2 linked regions of the Arabidopsis thaliana genome follow. The protein of the gene in region 2 interacts with the protein of the main gene of each other region in a pairwise test. Each region holds a gene or a part of one and is shown on either strand. Other genes may lie near its edges. The genes, in order: AT1G27280 and KAN3.

The links.
Region 1: the proteins of KAN3 (region 2) and AT1G27280 interact in a two-hybrid assay, tested with the Arabidopsis thaliana proteins (one large-scale study listed by BioGRID).

What each region holds. Positions count from the first base shown.
Region 1 is NC_003070.9:9,470,763-9,477,197, reverse strand, and holds AT1G27280 (Paired amphipathic helix (PAH2) superfamily protein), read right to left. Parts: upstream 3,172-6,435; coding exon 3,095-3,171; intron 3,003-3,094; coding exon 2,742-3,002; intron 2,634-2,741; coding exon 2,444-2,633; intron 2,358-2,443; coding exon 2,208-2,357; downstream 1-2,207. Other genes in the region: AT1G27270 (Paired amphipathic helix (PAH2) superfamily protein), read right to left, coding at 4,049-4,117, 4,200-4,301, 4,388-4,505, 4,602-4,895, 4,979-5,121; AT1G27260 (Paired amphipathic helix (PAH2) superfamily protein), read right to left, coding at 6,231-6,302, 6,380-6,435.
Region 2 is NC_003075.7:9,846,674-9,853,528, forward strand, and holds KAN3 (Homeodomain-like superfamily protein), read right to left. Parts: upstream 4,255-6,855; 5' UTR 4,026-4,254; coding exon 3,461-4,025; intron 3,323-3,460; coding exon 3,246-3,322; intron 2,466-3,245; coding exon 2,420-2,465; intron 2,342-2,419; coding exon 2,257-2,341; intron 2,046-2,256; coding exon 1,985-2,045; intron 1,596-1,984; coding exon 1,461-1,595; 3' UTR 1,260-1,460; downstream 1-1,259. Other genes in the region: AT4G17690 (Peroxidase superfamily protein), read left to right, coding at 1-434. UniProt on the Arabidopsis thaliana protein: Probable transcription factor that regulates lateral organ polarity. Plays a role in lateral root formation and development.

The sequences.
Region 1 (6,435 bases), on a different chromosome or scaffold from region 2:
TGTGTTGCTCCGCTATCAAGAAGCCAAGGATTGTACGACATGGCTGCCATATTTGCACGGGGCTGCCATGGAACAGTAGCATTAGGGTATTGACTTGGAGATGGGGTGGAGTAAGCGCCAGACATCTGAAGCTGTGAACAACGTCTAGCGCTATGGCCAAAAACTCCACAGATTTGGCATTTTCCTTGATAACCACGAGAAGAGGGCTGATCGTTTCTTGGCTGTTGGTATGAATTAGCACCACGATTGTTGTTGTTACGGTTTTGTCCGCGATAGTTGTTGGAGTTGTTATGCTTGTTGTTGGCTGGAGGACGATAACTTGCAGCATTTGCAGAGATCGGAAGAGACGATGCCGCAGCTTGAAGTTTCACTTCATGATTAAGTAACTTCTCGTGAATTTCAGTGAGAGAGGGAGGTACCTCACGACCTTGAATTTGGTCAATGACCTGTTTGTAGTCATCGGAGAGCCCTTCCACAATGACTTCCATCTGTTCCTCACTCTCCATCGGCTTGCCAAGGAGAGCTAGTTGATCAAATCGCATCACCAAGCCTTGGAAGAATTCATCGATGGATTTGGTGTCCTTCTTCCATTGCTTGATCTGTTGTCGTAATTGTTGGATGTGAGACCAGCTGGGTTTAGCATATGTGTCCATCAGCTTAGTCCAAATTTCAGCAGATGTTGTTGTTCGGGAGAGGATCGGTTGAACCGAGATTGAAATAGCGCCTAGTAGAGCACTGTAAATGAGTTGATCTTGCCTTTGCCAGTGCTTGAAGGCAGGATTGACCGTAACTGCACCATTTGCAGTGATGGTTGCAGGTGGGACGACAATGGAGCCGTCAATGTAGCCGGTGAGATCGTAGCCGTTGAGTAGAGCTTGAACTTGACGCCTCCACATGAGAAAGTTAGAGGACGTGAGTTTGGTAACATTAGTCATATTGACGTTGAGAAGACTGGTTGAATCAGATGTAATGACAGTCTCAGAAGCCATTGAAGAGAAAGAAAAATAATGAAAAATGATGAAAAACAGAGTAGCGGCTAGATTTAGGTTTAGGGATCGTTTAAAGCTCTGATACCATATAGTATTGAAGGCTGAATAATTCATTAGATGATATAATTACAATATATATAGTGACTACATTAGAATGAATTAGGGATTAATGATTTATTAAACTATCCTTTACTTATATACTCTACACAAACCACTCAACTTTCCCCCATATTTCACCACTTTTGCGCTTTTCAAGCGTAACCTCTGCACACCAAATCATCTTCCTAAGCGAGTGAATATTATTAGGCCACAAAACTGCCCTCTTTCCACCATAATCAGCCAATCTAATCCTTGTTTTATCAACAGGTACTGGTCCTACGTGGAACTTTCCGTCAAGACATAGAGTTTTGTAGTCAAAGCCGCCAAATGTCTCGCTGCAAGGGATTGGCTTAGGATCGCAAGTCTGTGTTTTTGTGTCGAACACCTCCATCAAGTTTTAATAGGAATTCGAATCGCCATCCTTACAGCATCCTGCTACATATATCTTTTGATCAAGTACGCTAGCAGAATTTGACTGTAGCTTCACTTGCAAGCAAGAAGCCTCGTGCCATGTGTGAGACCAGCAATTCACTTGAATTACCCGATTTACTATATTGATAAACATATTTGGTAATTGGTACTACTATATTTTTGTTTGGTTTGCTTTGTACTTTTTGGTCATTTATAGGTTTGTGCTAAGGCTCTGTTTCTCTATGTTTTTGTTTCTACGTTGAACTAAGATGACCCCAAAATCTCATGTCTTCTTGGTAACGAGGAAAATATCATACATGTACATGTCAGAAGAAACTATACACTCTCTTTTAGTCGCTTATATCCAATCAATCTACACCTCAAATATAAAAGCATATTTGCATATCATGACATCATGTTCTCTATGGAGTAAGAATCAAACTAATCTCATATGAAAACTATACACTCACTTCTCATTAGAAAGAACTACTCTTTTTGTCTCTTATACCCCAAACATGCATTATATTCAAAGCATCCTATACTAAAGCAGAGACAGTCTTCTAATGTACTTAGCTATCTCTAGCAGATTTTGACCCTGATGGATCAGTGGGTCTCTTGAAAACGTCTGCAAACCCCATGACTAAATCTTCATGACCCTCAAGAAGTGCAACGACCCGCAAAGACAACAAAGCAAATCAAACCAAAGAACTAAGAGAAAGTGTAATCCAACCAAAGTGTCCCAACCAAGAACCCTACCTCCTGGTACAAGTCATTCACGGACTTGTTTCCTTCTTGGTACATTGTCAATATCTCGAGAAACGACTCATATACATGACGATCATCCCCCTGGAACCTTTCCTGTACATCGACGGATCTGTTAGCATAGATGGAACATCAAAATGGTAAATGGTAAGGATTAGTTTTAGTATTTTAGCACTCTATACCTTAAGCTTGCCGATAAAACTCGCTACACGTTTTCTTTTGTTAATATCAGATGCAGCCCGTTGCTCAATCTTGAGATGGAGGATTCTCTGAGCCTCAGGTGGAAGGAAGGCATTCAAACGGACAAGCAGATTCTTGTGAGCTTTCAAGAGTTCCTCCACCCTTGTAATGCCACCAGCAACATCAATTAATCTACAAAGAGAATAGTATATAACAAACAGAATCACTTCACAATGTTGTATAGATTGAGACTTGAAATTAAGGGCAAACAGAATTGAAGAGGGACACAACAATACATACCTATACCTGATATCATAAAAGAGCTGGAAAAACTCGTAATACTTTGCAGGTTCATCATGAAATGCTTCCTTGACAGTGTTGATGTATGAAACCGCATCATCAATAGTAGAATCCGGTGATACGCTTGTTGCAGCAATGGTTTGAAGTTGGGCTAACCCTTCGCTAGCCTCAGCTGGAAAGAAGTCAAAGAAACGAACAAGCAGGTTCAAGTGATCTCTCATGAGTTCCCCCATACATGCAGTGATTCTAGCTCTATCGTCTCTACACAAGAGAATAAGAAACATGAGAATCAATTTCACATCTGTATTTGTTTAAGAACAAACCAGACATAACCGGGGGAAATCAAGACATACCTATGATTAAAATAATCACGTATGAGGTGGAGAATATGATTAAATTTTTCAGGTTCATCATGATATACTTCCTCCATAGAACCGAGTTATGAGTATTCATCATCCTTAGTTAACTCTAATGGTACGCTTCTTCCATCCATGGTGTGACCTAAAACCATTGTTATAATCCAAACAGGTCAGATCACATCATTTGAATCCATCTACTATCTCAAAGCTATTTCTTTAAAGTTTTTCAAGAAACAGAGCCAAGTGCAATAAATATCGATCTACTTCCTCAAGAACCCTAGATTGAGGAACGATTTGAAAGCAGAGAACCAGAAAACTCGATCGTAACCCTAATCGTCTGGTGAATTGACATATCAACTGAACGAAACAAATGATAAATCGAAAGAGGAACCAAGTATGGCTACCGATATAAGCAGAGCAAAGCAGCAATGATGAACAAGAAGAAGCTTCGTCTTCGTCTTCGCAGAGTAAGGAGTTCAAGATTTCTAGAAGCAAAGTAAAAACCTCAAGACTGCATAGAGTTTTTGTTCACGAGTCTATATTTATACTAGGGAGTATATCAATTTCGTAATTCATATAAGGTTTACTTAAATTAGAAAATATATTTGTTATTAGAATTACTTGATTCTTATTTGGTTTGCTCTGTAGTTTTTGGCTCTGTTCCTCTCTGTTTTTGTTTCTACGTTGAACTCTGTTTTTGAGTGTTTCTCCTCTCAGTTTCTATTAAAAGATGACCCCAAAGATAACCAGAAAATATTAAGTGAAAAAAACATTTGATATCAAAGAAAGCTCTACAAATACACTTTCTTTTAGTCTCTTACACAGCAATTCATTGAACATAGAAGCATAGCATATTTGTGAATGTCATGTTAATCAAACCTAAACTCAAATGTTTTCGTCTCTTAAGGTATATAGTCTTCCAGTACTGTCCTTAGCTATCTCTAGACTCTATGGATCACTGAAAATTTCTGAAAGCTCCATGAGTAAATCTTCATGACCCTGAATAAGTGCACGGACCTGCAAAAGGTAACAAGCAAATCAAACCAAAGAACTAAGAAAGTGCAACACACAACACAAAGTGTCCCACAAAGAACCATACCTCCTGAGACGCCTCATCTTTGGACTTGTTTCCCTCACTGTGCATTCTCAATATCTGGAGAACTGAGTCAACTACTTGACTACCATCGCCCAGAAACCTTGCCTGCACATCCACAATTTTGTTACTTAAATCACAAGTTAACATATAAGAAACATCCAGTAACTATAAGCATTTAAGCACTCTATTACCTTAAGCTTCGTGATAAACCTCCTTGTAGGTGAAAGGAAGACACAGAAACCAAGAAGCAGATTCAAGTGATCTTTCAAGAGTTCCTCCATCCTTGCAATGACACTAGCGGCATTGATTCTACAAAGAGACTTAGTAATATCAGAATCAATTCACATGTGTGTTTGTTGTGTAAATTGAGAAAATCAAACATAACATGGAGAAAACAATTCATACCTACGAGCTTTAAGATCAGTCAAGAGCTTAGTAATTTCCATATATTTTGCAGGTTCATCATGAAATGCTTCCTTCACAGCATTGAGGTAAGAAGTCGCATCATCCATGGTAGGCACCGCCACCGCCGGTGGTACGCTTCTTCCAACCACCTTATTGATGTGAAACTCTGCGCTAGCCTCGGGAGGGATGGCTGTCTGCAACCTAAAAGGAAGTAAGACATTTGAACCATGACACAGATTCGCGTGATCTCTCAGGAGTTCCTGCAAGCTTGCACTCAAAGTTTCGAAACCGAATCTATAAAGAGAAAAATAACATCAGAATCAATTCTCACATGTGTCTTTGTTCTCTAAACTGTTGAAGAGCAAACCAAAACATACCTATTAGCAGTATAATCAATAAAGATTCTTACAAACTCTTGATATTTTTCAGGTTCAGTATCCTGCAATGCGACCTTCACAGCATCGAAGTATGCCATCCCATCTTCGAAATTGAACTCTGGTGATTTGCTTTTTCCAACCATGGTGTCAAATTAGCCTAATCCATAAGTCAAAGATAAAGATTATTGTTCATCGAAACAGATCAGATTATTCATTGAAACCCTTCGTGTATCTCGAATCTATCTCGAGAAACTTAATCTACAGCAACAACTAAATCAGTTCGTCGTGATTCATGCAAAGTTCATCTTCTAGAATACAGATTCATGTAAATTTCATCCAACAAGATCCTTAAGAACATCTAGAATCAGTCTCGATAGAAAGAAAACAACAAGACGTGCCGATCAAGAAACTAGAAAAGAATCATATACGAGATCAAGACATTCGATCGTTAACCTAATCGTCACGTCACATGATTTCACATTTCACATGAACGAAAAAGGAATTGAAACGAAGAAGAAGAAGAAGAAAACTACCTAACGAGCAAGCTTCGTCTTCGCAAGTGGGAGAGGCTTCAAGATTCCCAGAAACAAACGCACTCTGTTTTGAGTTCTTTTTTTCTCTCACCAAAACCTCAGAGACTGATTTGAGTTTTATTCACGAGTCTATATTTATAGTAGGGGATTATCATATTGACTTCATTTCTTTTTGTTGTTGTAAAACTGTAATTTGTAAAATTTGTGAATCTGAAATTTTAAAAGCTTTCTTCAATATGATAATAAAATATTTTATCAATTCGTAATTTATACAATAATTTAGAAAACATATTTGTTGTCATTAGATTTACTAAAATTTCTTTGGTTTGCTCTGTATTTACTCAAGTAATTCTTGTTTGGTTTGCTCTGTTCCTCTCTGTTATTGTTTCAACGTTGAACTCTGATTTTGAGTGTTTCTCCTCTCAGTTTCTATTAAAAGATGACCCCAAAGATAACCAGAAAATATTAAGTGAAAAAAACATTTTGATATTAAAGAAAGCTCTACAAAAGAAACTATACACTATCTTTTAGTATCTTATACACCAATTCATTGAGCATAGAAGCATAGCATATTTGTGAATGTCATGTTAATCAAAGCTAAACTCAAATGTTTACAAAGAAAACTAAAAACACTCTCTTCTCATTAGAAGCTCTACTCATATTTTTGTCTCTGAAGGTATAAACAGTCTTCCGGTACCGTCCTTGCCTATCTCTAGACTCTATGGATCACTGAAAATAATTTTTATAAGCTCCATGACTAAATCTTCATGATCCTGAACAAGTGGAACGACCTGCAAACGATAACAAAGCAAATCAAACCAGAGAACTAAGAAAGCAAAACACAAAGTGACTCAACCAAGAACCATACCTCCTGGAACGCCTCACTTTTGGACTTGTTTCCCTCACTGTACATTCTCAATATCT
Region 2 (6,855 bases):
CTCTAAAGGAGCTGGTTGCGTTAAGTGGCGGGCACACAATCGGATTCTCACACTGCAAAGAATTCAGCAACCGGATATTCCCGAAGGTTGATCCAGAACTCAACGCGAAATTCGCAGGAGTTCTTAAAGATCTATGCAAGAATTTCGAAACCAATAAGACGATGGCAGCATTTCTCGATCCGGTGACACCGGGAAAATTCGATAATATGTATTTCAAGAACTTGAAACGAGGTCTTGGACTGTTAGCTTCCGACCATATATTGTTTAAAGATCCTAGCACGAGACCGTTTGTAGAATTATATGCGAATAATCAGACGGCTTTCTTCGAGGATTTTGCACGTGCCATGGAGAAACTAGGCAGGGTTGGTGTTAAAGGCGAAAAAGATGGAGAAGTGAGACGTAGATGTGATCACTTCAACAAGCTTAACGTATAAGTAGCATAAACAGAAGAACATCATTGACTTCGATCGGTTTTCTTTGTATTTTTTTTTTAATAAATGTATTTATAAATAAGTAAGTTAATGTAACAATTTTGAGTGCCTAAAATTTACAAATAATCTTTGTTATATAGAGAGCATTAGATCTTACTTTATGGAGGAGAATACAAATTCAAGTTCTTGAGTTATTTCCCCATCATCTTCTTCTTTAAAACAAGTGTCTCCGTTTTAAGTGTTGTTGGCCAAACTTCGACGAATAAAGTCCAAATTGATTATTAAAACGGCTCAACTTGTGATAAGGCCTTTTCGCCGGTAAGTATTTTTCTTCATTTGCCACCATAAGATTATGATATTTGCGTTGTAGCTAGAAATAGCCTCCGATATTTTTACTGTTCAAATATACTTTTTTGCTATATTCATCTAAAGTATTTTTGATTTGACCAATCTAAAATTTTAGTAAAATATACTATATTTAAGTAAGATTATGTAATTACTACGTATTTTCATTATCATCATCGTATGCTTCATGTGTCTAAAGCTCTTGTTAAGGTTACCAATAAAAAGAATCTTCGTATGGTTGGTTAGTTTTCTTAACATTTGGAATTATGGATAGATTGTAATGTATTTCGTTTTATTCTCTTTTTTGGCTTTACTCAAAATGAATAATTAGAAGAAAAAATTAGTGAAAGTCTTCGTCGGGTCAACGTCACAAGTGTCAGACACGTGTCAGAGAACCATGTGTTAAGAAGTAAAGCAGTCCGATTTAGACACGTGGATGAGTCATAGCTTTGCATCGCTGTAATGATGACCAAATAATTTTATTCCCATTCAAGACAAGAACAAGCATCTCAAATTTATGACCCAAAAAAAAAAGCATCTCAATTTTACAGTACAAAAGGAAAAATGAATAAAGGAAGAAATAAACGTCATTTCATATATATTTTTTCAAAAGCATAAACTTTTAAGTTTGAGATTTATATAATTTTTAACAGATAATATGTATTTTTAGTATATATAAGAAAATTAGGGAGAGAGGTTTGGTGTAGCTAAAGTGAAATCAAGATTGGGAGTTTCAGTCTCTGGTCTTGTCCCTGTAAGGCTTGACGAATCTGACGACAACCGTTCGTTGCTTGGACATCTTCGATTCTTCCATTCATTCTGACATCATTTTAGAATAAAAGATTATATATTATAAGAATCATCTCATATAACATTTCATATATAGACTGTGTCTTTATTTTCAGTTTGCTTTCTATTTCAAAATTTCCAATTAAACTATTTTGAAGATTTAAAGACAATCAAATCTAGTGAATTGGGTTCTGAAAATAAAGTATCATAGATATCAACTCTCCAAAACAAAGTCTTTAATTTCTCTGCTTTTGAGACAAAATCAAAAGAAGAAAAACACTTTTTTACCCAAATGGAAGAGAAAAAAAGTAACTTATAATCCTTTATAAAAACTTTTTTTTTCTTTTTTTTCAGCCTCGAATTTTGCAAGTCCCGTTTTATTCCAATGCCCTTTTGGTTAAATTTTTGAAATCTGTTACCTCATTGGATGAAATGTCTACACCTGATGATGCCTTTGCCTTCAACTGGAACCGAGCTTCACTGTTTATACAGATTCAAATTATATCACATTGATTTTTTGAAGGAACAAAAAAGAATAATATAATGCTAATGATTTTGGCTCAACTAACATAATATTATATATATTAAGTTTCTCATATGATGCAAATATAGAAAGTTGCCTAATAAGTATATACATATCTGTCCAACAAATACTAAATTCTACTTAGGCAAATATTAAAACATAACATACCTTGAGGAGTTATTCCATAGACCCGTGAGATTTCTTGCTTCTCTCTCACTGTTTACTTGTGATCCATTCTCACAATCTGACTGCCCTATACACACACGTTTATCAGATGTATAGTATTTAACAGATAATTTAATTAAATCAAATACATAATCAATCAAATAACCTGATGACGTTGTAGGTTTTTCAGTAGACTTGATGGTTCGATACATCTGAAACATTATAGATTAGATTACTAATATTATATATAAGTGCTAGTTATAAGAATAATTAATAGTTATATCGATCAATACATACACATGAATTATATATAATGTGTGTGTGATGTTCGTGTGTTTAGACTTGTTCCATTCAGGCATTCACGTGTGTGTATATAAGGCTATAACCTAGATATGCACGCACACAGAGACAGAGATGGATAAAGTAAGAAAAAAAGAGATCAAAGTAAAACAGAAAGCATTTACGATTCATGAAAATGTGCAGCCATACACAGAGATGGGAGATGTGCATGGGTCTACGTGCCTTATTCTGACTATAGTCAAATTATGCAAAACAGCAACTTATATATTTGTTATCATTGAAGAATCATGCATATACATATATGTGTGCATATCAATCTAAATATCATCATTGAAGAATGATGTCTCCTTTGTACTTTTACTTTTCTACTGCATCTCTAGTAATAAAAGGACTCTTTCTCTTACTCTTTGTCTATATCTTGCTTTTGATTCCTTCTCTTTTTATCTTTTTTCTTTCTTCACTTTGTATATAATTTCTTTATATATATATATATATATATATATATATATATATATATATATATATATGGGGGCGACCAAAAGTTTAACCATGTCCAAATTAATCACAATTTTTCTTTTAGCCATTTCATAAAAAAGTGCAGTGGGTTTGGTTCATTTGCATATTCAAATCCATAATACAATAAATTCATTTATTTACCTATACATTATGTACCTGTAACTTAAGAAGATTACCTGTAGATGGGATTTAACATGAGCCAATGTGAGATCTTGCACATCCATCAGCTCAAGTACTGATTTTGGGGTTGCTCCTGGATATTAATCATAATTACTAAGTCAATAAAAATAGAATTTTTGATCAAGCCTATTCATTATTCTTTTTGTTAAAAATGAAAAAGAGATATAAATTCAATTAAATAAAAAGGGGTAATAGTGAAAAAGGACAATACTTTCATGACCACCCAATAATTGAACAGCGTGTACAAAATGGGCGTGGAGGGTCGTCGTCCACCGCATCCTTGGAGCCCTTACTCCTCTTTTGGCGGTGAATCTTGGCGGCTGCGGTTGAGCTTGACGCCGATGACGGTTGTGGAGATTAAAACTACAATTAGGGTTTGTGATTAAGCGACGACTAGCATGTTGACCGTTGACTTCACTGAAGAAGAAAGGATTGGGAGAGGTAGATGAGTAGTAGTAGTGGTCAAGGACTTGATTCTGGTAAAGAGGGATTCCTCTTATTGGTCTCATCATAAAAATAGATCTCAAGTCTTGATCGAGAGATTCCTTGTGTTCTTGATTACTATTAATCTTGGTGGCTTCATTGTTTGAAGTGAACTGGAGAGTGTGGATGAGATTATTTGAAGACTTGTTGTCTAAATCTGAGGCTTTACTCTGAAACCCTAATCTCCTTTCGACTTCTTGTTCTTGTAGTTCTTGACTTTCTTTTTCTTGTTCTTCTTCTCTTCTTCGGCTGATCTTCAAGTACAAGTCAGGTTGTGAAGGGAAAAGCTCCATAAGAAGAGAGAATTGGTGAATGATTTTGAGATAATCTTGATGAATTTTATGGGAAAAAGGAGGGGTATAATGTTATTTATTTCAAAAAGTTTTTTTTTTCTTCTTCTTAACTTAATGAATTTTTGTTCTTGGTGAGAAGAGAAAAGCAGTTGTAAAGAATTAGAGAGAGAAAAATAGGGATGGCAAAAGGTATGAGGGAAATGAGAAGTCTCTTTCTTCTCTGTTCCCTTTGAGAAAATGACACTTTAAGAGTCTAATAAAGGGGTTGGGTGAAACATGAATTTCCATTTAATTTTTCCTTTCCCTTTTCTTCATATGTAAAGGAAAATACCAATTTATATGGCATATTTTGTTACAATGTAGATATCATCTATCACATATCAGTATTTAATGATGGTATAATAAAACAATAATGTATGGAATTATTCGATTATTTGTGTTCAGATTTACATGTGAAAATGACACTTGTGTTGAAACTGAAAGATGCGTGTGTGTATATGTTTTTTTTTCCTGATAATATCATTGTAGAAAATTTAAAATAAGAATCAAAGGCTGATATTTTCTTAGAAAACAAAAAAGGAACAACCATAGCTACTTGTTTAGTTGTTGATAAAATGCTACTATATATAAAAAATACACCTGCATGAAATTTAAGAGATGAAGATACATTAAAACCAAAACTGAAGTCTCGTCGTCACTTGTTGTTTGTCTTGTTTATTGGTTTAATTCTTTGTCCTCCTTGAAATCGGAGTTTGGAATTATACCGAACATTACGAACTTGGTGGCTGGGTGCCTAAGAATAAATTGAATATGATATTGCGTCTAATTAATACCTGAAAAAGCTTTTCTTTTTCCTTCTATATATTGTTTGTGGAGAAAGTGATTTTGTTTACGTGATAAGATAAAATTTAAGGAAAATAAGAAATGGGAAAAGAATAATATCACATTGACAGTGAGATATCACCTTAAAATATATATTGTATATAGTTTCGATTATGTTTATTAGTAATTTTCAAAACAAGTTAACATTAAAGGTTTTTTATTCCACGAAGCATTAACTTCATTTCCATCAAAATACTATACGACATTAATTTAATTTTGGCCCTAGTGACACCGATAGACAGTCCAAGATTTGATTCCCAAAACGCCCTTTGATAATTCATGTCCCCTAAGCCCATACATCGACAGATAATGTTGGGGACGATCCTTAGATTCATTTGTTTTTTTTTATATTTTTCACATATTTGATTAAACTAAGAAAATCTGAATCCAAAAATAGGTTTCCGTAAAAGTCGAACCTTTTTCCAGTTTTAGTTCCGGCAGCACGAGGAACGATATAAGACAAACGGAAAGGAATTTTTATGGAAAATCGATAGAGAAAATAAGATTAAAGAATATAATTTAATTTACTTGATTGGAGGCACTACCAACCGACGATGCATAAGACAAAGTTAGAAGCTCAAAAACATTACTAGGTTAGGAGATAAAATCTTATTCTTTTTTAACCGAATCATTAAATAAATCGTATTAATCGAATCTTATTTGTTTTTCAGCAATCCGCGATTAACTATCATCACTAGTACTTGAGTTTTGTAGCAATGAATCTTATTTGTTCTTCTCGTCGTCACATACAAACAAGAAACTAATCATGATAAGTTCTGAGGGGTCGGACTTAAGTGACGAATAAATAGGAGAAATATCAAAAACTATTGAAAATTTATAGTGGTCAAATAGAGAACAAAGGTTCCCATCAATTTGAGTAAGTTACTCCGACACGGGGACGTAAGAGTGAAACCTAGTGAAAAGCATGCTGTCCACTTCACTTAGTGTAAAATTGTAAGACCTTTCAGGGCACACAGTTTGTTGTATATTTTAGATTTTTATTTCGTAAGGTTATCCGTATATACGAATCAATTTCCTACATATATATATATATATATATATATATTTCCTTCATAATGTGATGAAAAAGAGAAGTACAATAGGAAAAAGATTGATTGAAAAATGAAAAAGTAGAAGCACACTTAATAAAGGAGTAGAGGAGAAAGATTTGGAGTTTATAGAATAATTGCCCCCACGAATCTTTTTTTGGGAGATATTTTAAGCAAATCTTAACTTTGGGGAATTTGATAAGAACCCACATTTCTATTCGGACAAAAGAGTTGCTTGCAAACTTTAAGTCGAAAAATTATTTATCTGGTATTAAAAGAAATGAATTAAAATCTACAAGGGAAAAAAAAGAAAAACCTAATCTTAGCTAGCTGGTTATACGTGTGTCATGTAATAAAATGAAACTATTTGACTAAGTTCATATTGGGTGGGACTGGTATCACTGGACTGTAAGGAATTTGTTTTTAATAATAATATTGTTATGGTAGAGGAATTCTTATTTTTTTAGTAGATTGGTGTGTTATTGGTTTGATAATTTTTTAAGATTAGGATTATACGATGCAAGTTGAATTATTGAATTTGTTTTGTCAATTGTAAGAAATGACAATAATTTACGCATCTAAATGCTGTGGGGAAGATATAAGCTTTTTGTACAGTAATAATGGTTACTTACTATTCCATCAACTATTAAAAATCATGTAAAGAATAAAGACCTACCACTTTCATTGTTTGCTAGCTAGTATATATATATTTATGGTTAGTAAAGTAATAGAAAATCAGTACAAAGACAAAATTTAAGGAAATGAATTAAGAGTTCTTGGTTTTGGTGCATGTGGAAATATTTGAGGTTAAGACTGTTTACTGTTGGAAATTTTAAGCAAACAAGACATAATCAATCATTGTTTTAATTTGGGATGTAAAAACAATTTTTTTAATGCCT